2 linked regions of the Schizosaccharomyces pombe genome follow. Changing the gene in region 1 together with any one later gene gives a genetic interaction. Each region holds a gene or a part of one and is shown in the gene's direction. Other genes may lie near its edges.

Region 1 (10,153 bases):
CCGCTTAAATGACTTGAAGTTAAATGACTACAATTTTTATGTACTAATGCTTGATTTCCAGTTCTTTGCTATTAATAAAACAAACTGGATTGTTGAAATTCAGCGCCCGATACATTTATTTTTCTATTTCGATTATGTTAAATTCGTATTTTTTAGATTAGAAATGTTCTAGTATTGTTCTAAATTGAAGTAGCGGAAAGTATATATACATGATTGCAAATTTGTAATTAGGATTATAATTTCTGTTTCTTTTTTTTTGTATTTGTCGCGTTACCAAAAGGTAATAGAACGTCCACTGCAGAAACGTCTTGTTGGATAAAAATTGCCCGAACTAAGGAGCTACCATTTCTTAGTAAAAAAAATTTAGACCTGCGTTGGAGCTTAATGCAATTATCAAAGAATGAATTTTAATCATCTTCTGATAATCCGACAAAGGAGTTGACTGCTTTGCGACGCATCCCTTATGTCACGTTTCTACTACTGTTTCAATACCTAACCATTACATTAAAGGTAAAACTGCACATTAGATACTTCGCATTTAGGGAATAACGGTGAATAGCTTTATTTAATTTCAAATATTATCTTGAATTGTTATTATGTTTCATCATATGCAGTCCCAAAGTCTGCTCATCGTTAATTCATTTCCACAGGTAAGTTGTGCATTCATTTCGTTATGTGAAAAAATGGAATGACGCTCGTATTTGAATTGATAGAAATGTCATATATGACTATTAGGGGACTATTATGTGTTGATTGAACAATTTATTTTCAATGGGATCACTCACCCGTCATTTTGTCTACCGAATTGCATTTTGTAAGAATTTGTCAGTAAAAATTTGACCTATATATCGAGGTATTCGTTCTCTCGATTTGTGCTACTGAAATTGAGACATTAATCCGATTTCGCTTGCTTGCAAATAAAAGCCAGGAAAATATAATTGGTCTTTTGGAACTTGTATTTGAGGCACTCTTTAGCATTTTTTATCCTTCTATTTTTTAATTCATTAATCATTTAATAAGAAGATGCAGTTCTCTGTCCTTTGCAAATTTCTGTTGCTTGTCACAGCCGTAATGGCACAAACGGAGTATACTCCTGGTTTTACGACAGACGTTGCTACAACTGTAACGCCTACTCCTTTACCAAGTGCTAATGTTACGACTACTTCCTTTAGCAGTGCAAGTACTGAGACTTCCACCCACAGCGTAACAAGCACGAACATTACTTCGATTGTACCTCCCCCTTCGACTAGCCATAACTCTACCACTACCACTGTGCCACCTACAACTAGCATGAACACTACGACCACTGTACCTCCTACAACTAGCTTGAATACTACTACTACTACTGCACCACCAACAACTCATGTTAACAGCACTACTACTGTTGTACCACCAACAACTCATGTCAACACTACTACTGTTGTACCACCAACAACTCATGTCAACACTACTACTGTTGTACCGCCAACAACTCATGCCAACACTACTAGCTTCGTACCTACTACTACGGAGAGTTCTATACATCCTATCACTACTGGATTCTATAACACTACATTCACTACCGGCTACTTCAACACTTCAGTCACTTCGGTCGCAGTTCATAATAGTACTACTGTCTTCCCGACATCTGTTCCTATTGTAAACACTACTAGTTTCAACGTAACTACCATTCCTTCTTCTGCTGTGCATTATGCTTCTCCCAGCGGACTTCTCGCTTTGGTTGTTATGCTAATTTCTGCCTTCGCCTTTTTGGCTTAATTTATCCCATTTAATATAGGCTTACTATTTATAATATTTACAACCTAGCAGAAGTATGCAATTAATTTCTTTCGCTTAATTACTTTATCAGATTATAGTTTAATGTTGAAATTGTAATTTAATTCTATTAAGTTATTAGTACAATTATGGAAGGCTAAGTCTCTAAAGTAGCAAACAGTATGTCTGGGAAAAAATGTATTTTTAGGCCGTAGTCAATACAGATAGAATGAATGCACCATGCATTATAAATTGACCCGACAAAAAAAGAAGAAAGCGATGTTATGACTCTTCAGTTGAAGGAAGAGGGTATTTAGAGTGCAACAAATAAAATTGTCTTAAAAGCCCATGATGAAATGGTCTCAAAGACTATTGAAAAGCTGTAACTGAGTTATTGCTTTATTCTTTCATATATGAAAAAACAAAACAACCAAAACCAGTAAAGTTTGATGAATATGTAAATCAATCACAAAAAATTGAAGTTGTAATTAATACATAAACCAGCTAGAACAAACTTCGTAGGTCATACGGAATTTTAACATAACCATATTTAATGGGACGCGTCTTCTTCCTTGCAAAATTGAGCGTAACTTTCATCATTTAATAGTGATTTCAATTCGTCAGGTGATGATAACTTGATTTTGCAAATCCAACCTTCTTCCTCGGGAGACGAGCTCACCTTATCTGGTGAATCACCAAGAGATTCATTGATAGAAGTAACTGTACCAGACACTGGAGAATATACATCACTAGCCGACTTGACTGACTCAACAGCACCGATGCCATCACCTACACTCACGGTAGTCTCAGGTTCTGGCAATTCAACGAATACAACTTCACCAAGAGCATTCGCAGCATAAGAGGTAATTCCTACAGTTCCAACATCTCCATCGACTTTAACCCATTCATGTTCCTTAGTAAAGTGTTTAGTTGAGTAATATTTTACCGCGCTCCATTTCATGGATAAAGTAGGAGCTGCTGCCTTCAAACAGAAACCGGTCTTTACAGATGAGGTAAGAGAGGGAAGGAAACCAGAGCGAAGGGCAGAACGAGCTAACATGTTAGGACTTGCAAATTTTATTCGTAGCTAAAAAGGATGGTAAGTCGTTAACTTCGTAGAGCAGACAAATAATGCAATAACGAAACCGCGCGATGTATCAGTGCTTTATAGCGTCCTGCGTTGTACTCTGGCATATTTAAAATGTATACAAGTACAAATTCACTAACTTGTTTTAAGATACGTTATTTCCTATCTATCGTACTAGTAAGCTAACTCAGTTGCCAATTCTAATTAACTATAACAGTATATACGTCTCTCTATAGATGTATAAGAAAATATACCGTTATTGCTATAAGGAATTACGCTTGTATGTTGATTTTATTAATGAATCAGTTCTGTTCCTCTTAAGTAAAAGCAATATTTGCATAGGTTAATAAGTCTACTTGCTTGTTCACTTAACCTTACAATAATTATGTTTCTTCTTTCAATTTTGAAAAACGTAATTGCTTGACTTAGCTTTAGACAACTTGAACGTGCATTCAATAAATTTGCCTACCCTATAATATCTGGGAGATATATATTAACAAATATGTAAGGCAAGTAGTTGCTACATTACCGTTTTTCTTTTTGAACTAGCTGATAAAATCTTTAAAGTCCTAGAGGAAAGGTAATCCTAGTTAACCATAACTGTCAAATGTACAATGCTAAAAACAAAGTATTATTACAGACATCTGACGTTACGATCTGCAATACTGGTGTAAGCGAAACTTCTCCATCTAGTTGAAATGTACAATGATAGTACTGAAAATTTTTGATTTATAGCCTTTAACCTATGAACAGTCAGAGGAATTTAGAAAAAAAAAATTTTTTTCAGAAATGTTAACTTTTTATTCAACTTGATTTCTAGCCTAGTTTTTTGCTAAAATAATGTTATTTAAGTATGTATAATAAATAATTGCTAGACTGTAAAACTCAAAGAATCGATCGGTCTAATTTTACTTTGGACAACTCAATAACGTAAATACTGTAACTGTGCCTGCACCATTCTCACTCAGCCACCACCATTAATTGATAAAAGCTTGCTCACTATTAGAATTTCCTTATAACCAACATAGAGAAATTCTTTTTAATTTTCTACTTATACTTTTTGAGTAACATAGCAATCACTTCATTTACTGACTGGTGCTTGGACTTATATATTAGCTTTGTAGAGTTACTACTATCAAAGTAGTTACATTTAATAATTTGCATAGGATTCAATTGTTTCCTTCTCCAGTGTACTTTTAGTTCACATTCGGTTATTTATCTATTGGTTTATTGGAAGCCATATTCGAAGTACTATAGTGAAAATCAAAACTTGCAATTTCACTGGTTTTCCTTCGGCTGTTTATTTCATTTTTTTGTACTAGAAGAATAACGGTCTCTTTAAAGACTTTTTACCCGACTTACAGAATCTATAAATATAGCATTTCTATTTTTAATGCAAAATGGTTCGCTTGCCAAGAAAGTTCAAACGTGTTTTACTTTTAGTGGTATTACTTACATTGGTTGTATTTGTACGTTTCAAAAAGCAATACATCCCAACTATCAGTGTATTTGAGGGCAGTCTGATTGACAATCGAGATACTCTTTCGTATTTCAATATTTCTAATCTAGAGCCCTCAGAACGCTCCGAATGGCTTCCAAATAAACGGGTTAATGCTGCCTTTGTTACGTTGGCAAGAAATGAAGATTTGAATGATTTACTTAAATCAATCCGAAAACTTGAGAAGACTTTCAATCATAAATATCATTATGGATGGGTTTTCCTTAACAATGAGGAGTTCTCTGACGAATTTAAGGAGCATGTTATTGAAGCGGTCTCTGGCAAATGTGAATTTGGTTTGGTACCTCAGGAACAATGGAGCATTCCGGAATATATTGACCAAGACAAAATGCATGAAAATTGGAAAAAACTTCAAGAATTAGGAATTCTTTATGCTGACAAAGAATCTTATCGTCACATGTGTCGCTTTGAGTCTGGTTTCTTTTATCGTCATCCTCTTGTTCAGAAGTACGAATATTATTGGAGAGTTGAACCTAGTGTGGATTTCTTTTGCGACCTCGATTTCGATCCATTTGCTTATATGAAGGAAAATAACAAGGCGTATGCATTCACTATCACTGTAACTGAATATTCAGAAACAATTCCTTCTCTTTGGCCCTCTACCAAAGAATTCATCAAAATGCACCCTAATGCTCTTCATCCTAATAATGCTCTAAACTTCATATCTAATGATGATGGGGAAACTTATAACGGATGTCATTTTTGGACTAATTTTGAAATTGCGAAAGTTGATTTTTGGGAAAGTGAAGTTTATAGTAAATATTTTGACTACCTTGATAAAAGTGGTAATTTCTTCTATGAGCGTTGGGGTGATGCTCCAGTTCATAGCATTGCTGTTTCGTTGTTCGCTGATCGTGACAATATCCATTTTTTCAATGAGATTGGCTATTGGCATCCTGGTAGCGGTCATTGTCCTTTGGATGATGCTACACGCGCTAAATGCGACTGTGATCCTTATGAATCCATTGATTATAATGGATGGAGCTGTCTAGATAAATTCTATACCGCATTTGAAATGCCTTTCCCCGAAAACTGGTCTTTTTATAGCCATTAATTCTTTCACATGGCTTAAAATGTCAGATTTGCTTTAAAAAGCTCAGTTTGTTTTTAAGTCGCAATTTATGCTTTCCATTTATTTTTATTTACTTCGTCATTTCTCTTCTCATTTTTTTTGAAAAGCTTTCAACGGTTAATTGGTTTGCTATTACTTTATGAGCCTACTTTTTTCATTTTGTACCGTATATTTCTTTACACCTTCTGATAGACTATGTCTTCCGAAATTAACTTCGTTATCGATTTTAGTCACTTTCGTTTATACAGTTCTTGCTTTCGTACTATTGAAGCATCAACTTTTTAGCCATACTTAATTCTCCCTTCAATGAAACTATTACATTTTATCATTCTATGTTTAATTTTAAGGGCTTTAGTTCTATGTTTTCATAGCTGTCGTTGATCCTTTCTGTAGAAACTGCACGATGACGATTAGCAGGATTCACTAAATCATTATCTTCTTGGTAATATTTGGATGCAAGTAATAAATCCTTTTTTGAGATTAAGCCAACTAAATTTCCGTCTTTTTCGATAAAAATCACACTTGGACTTAAGACTTCGAATAAAACAGCGACATTTGCAATGCTCTGCGTATGTAATACAGAAATAGGGTTCACATCCATATACGCTGAAAGATCTATTCTATCTGATTCACCGAATTTAGAGGACTTACTATCGCCAACTGAATCAACCTTTCCGAAACACAACTGCTGATCAAAAGTAAATGAAGGCTCTAGTTTTGCAGCCTCAAAAGAACTCTTCAGTGATGATTTCTTAAGATAGCCTATTAAATAATTAGATCGTGAATCTAAAACAACAGGATATCCGCTAAAGTCGTAACCTTCCATCATTCCTAACAGCTTTCTCCATGTAAATCCGATACTAGGAATGGTTATTAAATTGCTAGCCATCACTTCAGTAATGGGTATATTTATGGTATTGGAGCTATTAATGGATTTTTCTGGTTCAAGTAAGGGTAATCCATTAATCTCAATGCTACGATCAGCTATACCTGTTTTTCCCAGCATATTGCCAATGGAATTTGCAAGTGCCACGACAAGTACGGTAGGTAATATGAAGTTTAAGGCACCTGTTAATTCAAACATAATAACAACGATCGTGACCGTCAAATGCATTATACCGCTGAGAGAAGCTGCTGCTCCAAGGAGCGCATAGGTACCTGGAGTGATACAGCTTTCAGAACCATGACAAGCTAAGAATAAAACTGAGTTTGGAAACCTTTGATAAATCATCTCTGCTATCAAACCAATCATATAGCCAAACGAGGCACCTACCGCCATAGAAGGAACAAAGATGCCAGCAGGAACCTTGGCTCCGTACGAGAAGGTAACAAATATTGTTCTTGCAAATGTAGCAATCAAAAGCAAAATAGTATTTTTAGTCCTTAGAGAAGGGTCACAAAGATTAATTAACTCAGGTGAGCTACTTGACTTACATTCTTGGAAAAGCAATTCCATCCCAAGGGTCATGTCCAAACGTAACCAAGGATTTAAGAAACTTACCAAGGATGTTATTACGGTGACAAAAGCAGCATCGAGAACACCCCATCGAGACAAGTATTTTTTGCGTAGTTTTTGAATTAAGAAAAATAAGCGCATTACAAATTCACCGTATAAACCTCCAAAAATTCCTAGAAAACAAAAAAAAAGAAGCTCAAAAAAATGCCAGGATCCAGAGTAGCGAACCTCAAATAAAACAACTTGCCCTGTACGAAATGGATTTAGCATATGCAAAACACCAACGGCCGATAAACAACAGAAAAATGAATATACTATCATTTTTGGGTCATAACCACCAGACATTTCCTTAAAAGAATTAGTCAAAATCTCTATAAACTTTCCTACCTCAATACCGAAAAGCACACCTCCAATAGGGGATCCAAATGCAACAGCGACTCCGGAAGCAGCAGAAGCAACACAAATATCCCTATATCTAATAGATCCTTCCCTGGCATATTTGAATATCTTAGATATATTATGCCCGATGGTAGTAGCTAAATGTACACTGGGTCCCTCCTTCCCAACGGAAAGACCACTAGCGATGGCTAATGGCAAACCAACGCATTTTACCAACATAACACGAAAAGATAAGAAACTATCTCTTAAAAAACCGCTTATGATACATTTAATCTCTGAGATTCCACTACCAGCTGCTAAAGGAGCAACATCTCTTACCATAATCGCAGCACATAACACAAAAAGTAAAGCGAAGGCCGTGTATATAAGGTAATTTAGGGAAAACTTGTAAGTCCAGGGTTTCCATGCAGTACACGAGGAACCTTGAAACGTTAGATCATTGTACAAGTCATGTTTGAACATACCCATAGTTTCGCTATACCAACAGCAGAATTTCTCATTGTAATACCAATGACTAGTACAATATCCCCTTCGTATGTCCGATAGCCAAGAGGTAACTATGTCAAGCATATAAGCCGCAAACCCAACTGTTGTTCCTATGATACTGAGAATAAACCATGAATAACCAACATTCCATATTCTCCACAACTTGGACCAACGGCTTTGATCAATTACGTTTTCTTCATTTTGCTCGTTAATTATTTCATTAACTCTGTCTTTAAAAGTTGTCAGTAAATAGTAGTCAAATGCTTTCGAAGCTTGAAAAACCATACCGTCCGTTTCAAAATTATCAATACCGGAACCTTCTCTATTAAAAAAATATTTTTTTTTCCTTTCATTTTCATCCAAAGATCGACGTTCCGCCTGATCAAAAGAACTTGAGGAATCTGCTCTCTTTTGAGAGGACATTGATGATATAATCTAATGTGGAGAATATCAGAATTGAAGAAAATGCTCTTGTTTTTCTCCTTTGTATATCAAAAATTGATCACTAGCATTTATTATTGTATGGTAGGCAAATCGCAAGCATTAATTGCACTTTTCCAAAACTTTGTCCTCAACCTTGAATATAGTATGTTAAGGGTGTAAACCGAGCGAATTTTATTACTTATGAAGTAAGAAATATTGAAGTTGGAATATAAACAATGCACATTTGTAATATCTTCATAGTAAAAGAAGATTCTATTTTCGACTCTCTTTAGTTTTCTATAGTAGTTAGTTATTCGTTAGTCGTACAAATGTTACTTTTTGCTATTTTGCTAGATAAGTTTAAAATAGGAAAATTTAATGAAACAAAACTAAAGCAAAGTACAGTAATCAATATAACTTGGAAAAATCACATTCCGCAATAAATTGGAAACAATACACTTCCCAGGACTAAAACAACTTCATATAAGTGATAAAACATTAAGATAACCAAATAGTGCACTAGAATCAATCGGAAATTAAGTTATTTCAGCCCTAAATCAATCTGAAGCAGGTCTCCAATCCCAAATCATAATCGAAAGTAAGTAAAAAGTCATCAAGTCAATTGATTTTCACATTAAACACGAAAAACTACATCAACAAATTAAAGCACATATGTCACATTAAATTCTAACATCCAGTAGTTTCAAAATGGTAAAGGGCCCTATTAAATTAAAATAGAAAAGGTAAAATTGCGCTGCGAAAGATAGTTAGTAAATGATTTTAAATCCAGGGAAAAGACCAATTATCACAATCATTGAATACTTACCCTACACCCAAACCAATAGCAATACCACCAAGTGCTCTGACTTTCCGCTTTTCATAGTAAACTTCGCTTTCCAGTTTGGTGATACGCGACCTTTTCACAGGTACCATAGCATTGTAATCCTCGTTTTCCTCAAAATCCTCTCTACTTCTCTTCTTTGACTTTGGAGAGGATCGAATGGAAGATTTCAAAGTATCCCCAATGCTCTTTTCCAAATTCTCGAACTTCTTTTCCAACTTTCCGACAGGTTTTCTTACTTGGCTTGCAACACCAGTTACACCTTTGTTAACTTGATTAGCGACACCATTCATGCCTTTGTTGACCTGGCTTGCAACACCATTCACGCCCTTGTTAACTTGACTGGCAACATCGGTCATGCCTCTGTTAACTTGACTGGCAACGTCAGTCATGCCCTTATTGACACTTGACCTAATCTTTCCAAGAAGAGAAGGCTTGATAGGTGTCTTAATCTTTCTATCTTGGATATCAGATGTTTTTTCCTCCTCCTCAGAGGGTTGATCTTTAGAGGTTGATCCTTTTGCTTTATCATCCGAAGAAGAGGGTTGACCTACTTTTTCAGTAGAACTACCGCCTTCCTGCTTCTTGATTTCTGGCTCTTTCTTCTCAGACTTAATTTCATCCTTCGTTTCATTCTCTTCGGAATGTATTTCCTTGTCTTCTTCTTTATTATCATGTTGGAGGATTGTCTTTTTGGAATTCTCCAGATGTTCAGCAAGACGCTGACGTGTGCGCCTAGCAACAGAAGTGGTAGTGGCAGATGTCGAAGATTCAGGTTCCCCCTCAGATGTCTCTGATTTCTGCGCAGTGGGGCGTGAAGGAGTCGCATAAGTTGAAGGAGTGGAGGATGCCTCTAACAAGGCGTTAATAAACGGGGTCATGCTGTAGTCTTTGGCAAGAGCCAAGGCATCTGCAGGAGGCACCCATAGTCCAGCAACACGTTTGTCTTCAATTGGGTTTAAATTATCACGAATCCATCTCATTTCCAAGTCTTCTTCTTCTTGGGTAGCCTTAGGGAAAGCTGAACGAAACCTAATCGGGTTTAGATTTTTAGAAAAAGATATGAAAAAACGCTTACATTGACGTAGCACTAATGCTTGAATCCTTTGCCATCC
Region 2 (5,594 bases), on another chromosome or scaffold:
AATTAACACATTATTTTCAGCATTGATTGGTGCTAGACTCTGGACGTCTGAACCCGAAAGTCAACAACTGGGAATGATTGTTGACAAAGGCTCTGATTTCCCGCAGGTGATCCTCGATGAATTAAACGATTTACATACTGGAATTGTATACAGAGAAACGCCTTGGAGAAAAACTACATATGGTTACAACCGTCTCAGGGACAATGGTTTTCGATTGTTTGAATACCTTACACCTAAAAAGCCAATTCGTGCTCCTGATCTTTTGGAAACAGGATTGATATATGCAAAAACAATTCATATTATTACAAATCCTAAAACATTTGTCTCTGTGTGTGAGGAACTGGCAAAGTATGGAAATCTAAAAAATCGTCCTAAAATCGTATGGGAGCCAACGCCTGAATCCTGTTTACCGGAAAACTGGCATATTTTACAAAAAGCCTTAAAGTATTGTGATATATTTTCTCCAAACGAGGTGGACTCTGCCAACCTTCTGGGTATAGATATTAGCGAAAGCAAATCTCGAGCCAAAGAGTTTGTATCTGCGTTTCAAGAATTCCAAATTGGGCACGATTCTCAAGGATGGGTTGTTCTTCGAAATGGGTCCGATGGTTGTTTAATTGGTGCATGCACGAGTAGTACCAACGCTACAAGCGATGCAGTTGTCCCTGTGCGAGAAATTCTTCATTTGCCAAGTGTACAAATGAAAAACGGAAGCGTTTTAGATACCACTGGGGCTGGTAATGCTTTTTGTGGAGCTGCAATCTTGGAGTATTATAGGACGGGTAATATTATAGAAGCTTGTGCTAAAGCTACTGTAGCCGCTTCGTTTGTCATTCAACAACACGGTTTGCCGGCACACACGAAAAATAGTGAAGGGATTGACTTATGGAACGGAGAATCAGTCTTTCAGAGGTTGAAAGAATACTATGAATTTTTAGCTTCTCATGAAGCTTCCGCCATCAAAGAACTTACGAAACGAGGTGTATAGGTTGCTCTTACAACACAATATAGTCATCTTTTGCTACGAAGTACAAATACTTAATAAGATTATTATACCATTTATTACAATACGCAATTTCGTTGCATTACAATTGGGATTTTCTGCATCTAGGTAATCTAATACAAGAAATGCTCTTGATATTTGCAAATATGATATATATTAGTTGACAGAACATCGGTTGAAGTATCCGATATGAACCGCTTCGTTCACAACATTCAACTAAGCCTCTGCACCAAAGAGCCTGGAACTCGTCAAAGCCGCCGTCCGTCGTATCGTGAGAGAAGATTCTTCAAAAATAATCAATAGTCAGAATTGCATGGTGGTTTGAAGTCTCTTACATATAATTTATAGTACTTTATGTTTTCAACTTAGAATTATTCCACAATTTATAAGTAGTACTACACCTTATTCTGCTTCCCCACTAATGAGTTTCGGATGGTGTTGAAAAGCTAATTTCATGAATTTCAAGCTTTGGGGTTTAATGCTTCTTGACAAGCCTACGGAAGTTCTCCATGTTGTAAGTGGTATTACATTTGGGCACGCCTTCAACTAATAACCGGCACTTTAAAGTATGTGGCTTTGCTTCCTACCCCTTAAACTAGAATATATATTTGATGTCGCTCAATAAATAAAACAAATTTTCATACATTCATGTTATTTAGCTATTTGTGCTTTGTATAAAATACATGTCTCATCACTTTACTATACACAAGTCGCCACCCTTTAGTAAGTCCAGTAAATTTTCAATAGAAAATTGGATGAATATCCTTCAAAAACCAATTTTTTTTCATTTCTGGAACTCCTTAACTGGGATCCTTTGTATATGGAAATTTATTATATTTTGTTTTTAATTTGTTTAGCAAACTGTTCTTTAGCATCCTGCTGCTTCATACTAACTTCAAGTTTAAACTGCGTGTTACTTAAAATTCGTTACCCGATCACGTCTTGTGCAATCCTTTACCACTACATCGCAGAAATATCTTGATGATTTAGCAATTCATCCGTTGTAAATATATAATCTGCTGGCCATTTATTAAACTATCATTTTTTTTTCTGTGAAAATCAAAGCGTTTAGCTGACGCTGTAGTATATTGAGGCTATTCTGTTTTTTTTCATGTCGAGTTAGCGATTTGCGCTTGTATACTTGTCTACCTAATTTTGCAATTTTTCCTAATCGTTAAAGGGTTTTCTCTTGTGCTGTCCTTTAGGTTACTTCCTCATTTCGATCTGTGAAAATCTCATTTGTCGCACTCTCTCCTCTCATTTGTATTGCTTAATGCCCTTTTTGACGTTGCTTAGCTAACAATTATATTGTACTAACCATCAATCTTCTCAGACTTTTATCCTGCGCATTATTCCAAAATACAAAATTTTGTATCAAGAAATTCTGTCGTTATCTGATCAAATCCTGTGAAGCACTGGATTAACTTTGACGACCTCAAGTCTTAATTTTTTCGTTTATTAAACGATACTTTTGGTAATTAATTATTCATTCCACTAATAAATTTCACACCCTTGGTGTTGCTGGTTTATCCAATTTATTACTACAAACCAGCTTTACTCTACTATTCGGTCAAAAAATTCACGTTATAGGCTTTTTGAAAAATAATTTGTCTAACCATTCAATTAAAGAGAGTTGGTGAGTCTTCAGACAATATTTTTGAGAGCGTACCGTTCCAAAAGTTAATTATTTGATGAATTTCATCGATGGAGCGTCAAAGGTCAGAAGAAGCGAATCGTAGATTCAAAGACTTGAATCCTTCTTCTTTATACGATAACCTTTCAAAGCCGGATCTTGGAGGCTCTAGCGAGTTGCATACGTACATGAATGACACTTCGCTTGCTGATATCCCCCTTTTTGAGGATACTCTTGCGTCTGAAGTTTCTTCTTCTTTAATTTCCAATCCTTCTAAAAATAATATTCAGCACCTCCATCCCAACACCTCCGAGCCTTTTAAAACGTCTTCAAAATCCGATGAATATGATTCTTATCCTCGAACCGGGAATGTACCTACTTTTTCATTTACAGAACTGAACGATACTTCAGTCAGTGGCTTCGGTAGTCAAGCGGTATTTGAAAACTCCGTTAGCCCTTTAAGTAATCCATCAAATAGTCCGCAAGCATTTGACTTGACTCAAGGTTCGAGTTCTACTCATAACGCCAACGACTTTACTGTTAACAATGTTGGCTCAAGACGACAATCCATTTATGAGTTTAATATTGGTATTCCGTCTTCAAATATCGATTCTTCTCAGTTCTTACCAGTTTCACGTGCAATTGCGGCTTCTGAAATTTCTCCATCTTCATCGCCTCAGCTATTAACATCCTTCCTTCCCTCAGGATCTGTTTCAAATCCGAGTTCTCCATATTTACAAGGTTCTGTTGGTGCTCTGTATGAAGCCGATGCTTTTAATTTTGTTGATGTAATGTCACAGGCATCTGGAACTGAAGTTGATTCAGAGAGATTTCCTTCTGTTGATTTTGAAGATCCATCTTTATTGATGGAGAATCAACAAAATATTACCGGAACCGGTTCTTTTGCTGACTACCTTCAACCACCTTCTTCCGGGAGCCTGGGGGCCTTTACGAACGCGTCTCCTGGTGAAAGCAACACTGGTATAGATTTTGATACGGATAATACCAATTTGAATCCTTCCGTTGATTTATTGTCTAACCATTCCACACCTTCTTTCATATTTGAGAACAGTCCTTCCGCTGAATTTTCTCACCAGTCATCCCCATATCTTGTTCCAAACTCCGGAAGGACTTTAAACAGCGAAAATGCTAGAGAATCTACTATTCGTTCTGTAAATTCTCCTTTTTCTGAGGACCATGCAGATGCCTCTTTAACAACACACGTTTTTGACCCTATTTCTCCTACCGCTTTAAGCAATTCCGTTTTGAATTATGATTCAAACAACTTTTCGGGTACCCCACAAATTAATGTAGTACCTTCATCTCCTTCCAAATCCCAATCTGGACCTAGTTTGCCAGCAAATCCTCTTCTTCAAACAGACATTAGTATCACTTATAGCCAGTCTGCATCTCCAGTATCTGGTCAACCTGCTATGAATGAAAATTCTTATGACTTACAAAACGCTAATCTTTGTGCTCCTGAAATGTCACCCACATATACGGCTCGTCATCGATCAAATAGTGCTGGCTCACGATTTGATGCTTATGAGCCCATACCTCAATTATATACTCACTTTTCACATTCTTCTGAATGTCTATCTGTTAACCAAGATACCGAACTGCTGGGAAAAATAGAGAATGATAATTCTAAGTCGAACGATTATTTGTCAGTTAGAAATACTCGTCCTCGAAGTCGATCATTGAATTCGCTAGTAGGAAACAAATCGGAAAATTCGTCTTCGTCTAAAGCAAAGTCAGAGTCTAAGTCTCAAGGAAATTACGTTTGTACATTTGCTGGTTGCAATAAGCGTTTTACTAGGGCTTATAATTTGAAAAGTCATATGAATACACATACAAATTACCGTCCCTTTCAATGTTCGATTTGTAAGAAATCATTTGCTAGACAGCATGATAAACGGAGACATGAGCAGTTACACACTGGCATTAAAGCCTTTGCATGTGTCACTTGCAATCAGAGGTTTGCTCGCATGGATGCACTTAACCGACATTATAAAAGTGAAGTTGGACAAAATTGTCTTCGCACGGCCACAGAACGAGGAATTCAAGTTCCGCCATCCAGAAAGACAGCAGTGGCCTCGACAAGCAAACAAAAATGATGTTTTAATTTCCAAAGCAAGACATTTTGCTTGCACCTGTGATTAATGGGTGTCTAACTATATTTCCTTTTGCAATGTGATGCAAGTATTTGCACAGTTTTGCATTTAGGGTTTTGTATTATTTTTTATCTTTGATGTTACGTTTGGCTTCGTTTATAGTTTATTAACTTTTTGCCCTTTTTAAAGAGAGTTGACATTGTTTATACTTAGTGATTGATTTTACCCCATCGTTGATCCAAAATACGGCTTTTAATATTAGATTTGTTTAAAATTAATTATGTTTTGGGTATTGAGTTAGATTAATTTAAAATGTAATAAGACCTGCAATTCTTCTAGTACAATTATTTTACTGAAACATTAGTTTAACGTATACTTTTTGTATGCTTCGTGTATTCTTAAACATATACCCGTCGACCAAGAGTTGTTTACATTTTCGCTTAGCAAACCTTTTTCATAACAAACATATATAGTTCGGAATATCTCGTTATATCTTCATCGTGTAATCCATTGCACACTGAAGCAATAAATCCCGTGCTTTATCCATTGAGATTAAGGATGTTTAAAAACCGTAAATATGCTATAATTTATACTTTTCTCCTAATTTTACGCTTTTGGTTTTCGCAAGGCAGCTCATACATACATCCGGATGAGCATTTACAATCGTTTCAAATATTCGCAAGTATATTACAATTCTTCAACAATTTATGACTAATATAAAGATAAATTATTTGGCTGGAAAGTGGAACTTCCATGGGAATTTACTACTAAAAAACCAATTCGGTCTGTAGTTCCTTTGAATGTGATGCTTTTACCTATTTTCTTGCTTTGCCGGTGTATTTGC

Evidence for each region. A genetic interaction does not mean that the proteins touch.
Region 2: of omh1 (region 1) and prz1, changing one suppresses a phenotype caused by changing the other (phenotypic suppression), as found in Schizosaccharomyces pombe (one study listed by BioGRID).

The regions. Positions count from the first base shown.
Region 1 is NC_003423.3:2,841,185-2,851,337, reverse strand, and holds omh1 (Golgi alpha-1,2-mannosyltransferase Omh1), read left to right. Parts: upstream 1-3,808; 5' UTR 3,809-4,242; coding exon 4,243-5,415; 3' UTR 5,416-5,758; coding exon of another isoform or gene 5,759-7,237; 3' UTR 7,238-7,276; coding exon of another isoform or gene 7,277-7,710; 3' UTR 7,711-7,752; coding exon of another isoform or gene 7,753-8,004; 3' UTR 8,005-8,061; coding exon of another isoform or gene 8,062-8,197; 3' UTR 8,198-8,437; downstream 8,438-10,153. Other genes in the region: mts4 (19S proteasome regulatory subunit Rpn1/Mts4), read left to right, coding at 1-8; SPOM_SPBP19A11.02C (uncharacterized protein), read left to right, coding at 1,024-1,758; gcv3 (glycine decarboxylase complex subunit H), read right to left, coding at 2,306-2,815; SPOM_SPBC19C7.11 (ClC chloride channel), read right to left, coding at 5,759-7,237, 7,277-7,710, 7,753-8,004, 8,062-8,197; integral nuclear inner membrane protein Bqt4, read right to left, coding at 8,927-8,951, 9,024-10,070, 10,117-10,153. UniProt on the Schizosaccharomyces pombe protein: Mannosyltransferase involved in O-glycosylation of cell wall and secreted proteins. Plays a major role in extending alpha-1,2-linked mannose in the O-glycan pathway.
Region 2 is NC_003424.3:786,278-791,871, reverse strand, and holds prz1 (calcineurin-responsive transcription factor Prz1), read left to right. Parts: upstream 1-1,959; 5' UTR 1,960-2,707; coding exon 2,708-4,753; 3' UTR 4,754-5,094; downstream 5,095-5,594. Other genes in the region: SPOM_SPAC16C9.01C (carbohydrate kinase), read left to right, coding at 21-988; smp3 (alpha-1,2-mannosyltransferase), read left to right, coding at 5,309-5,432, 5,473-5,594. UniProt on the Schizosaccharomyces pombe protein: Involved in the regulation of calcium ion homeostasis. Binds to the calcineurin-dependent response element. Transcriptionally regulates pmc1.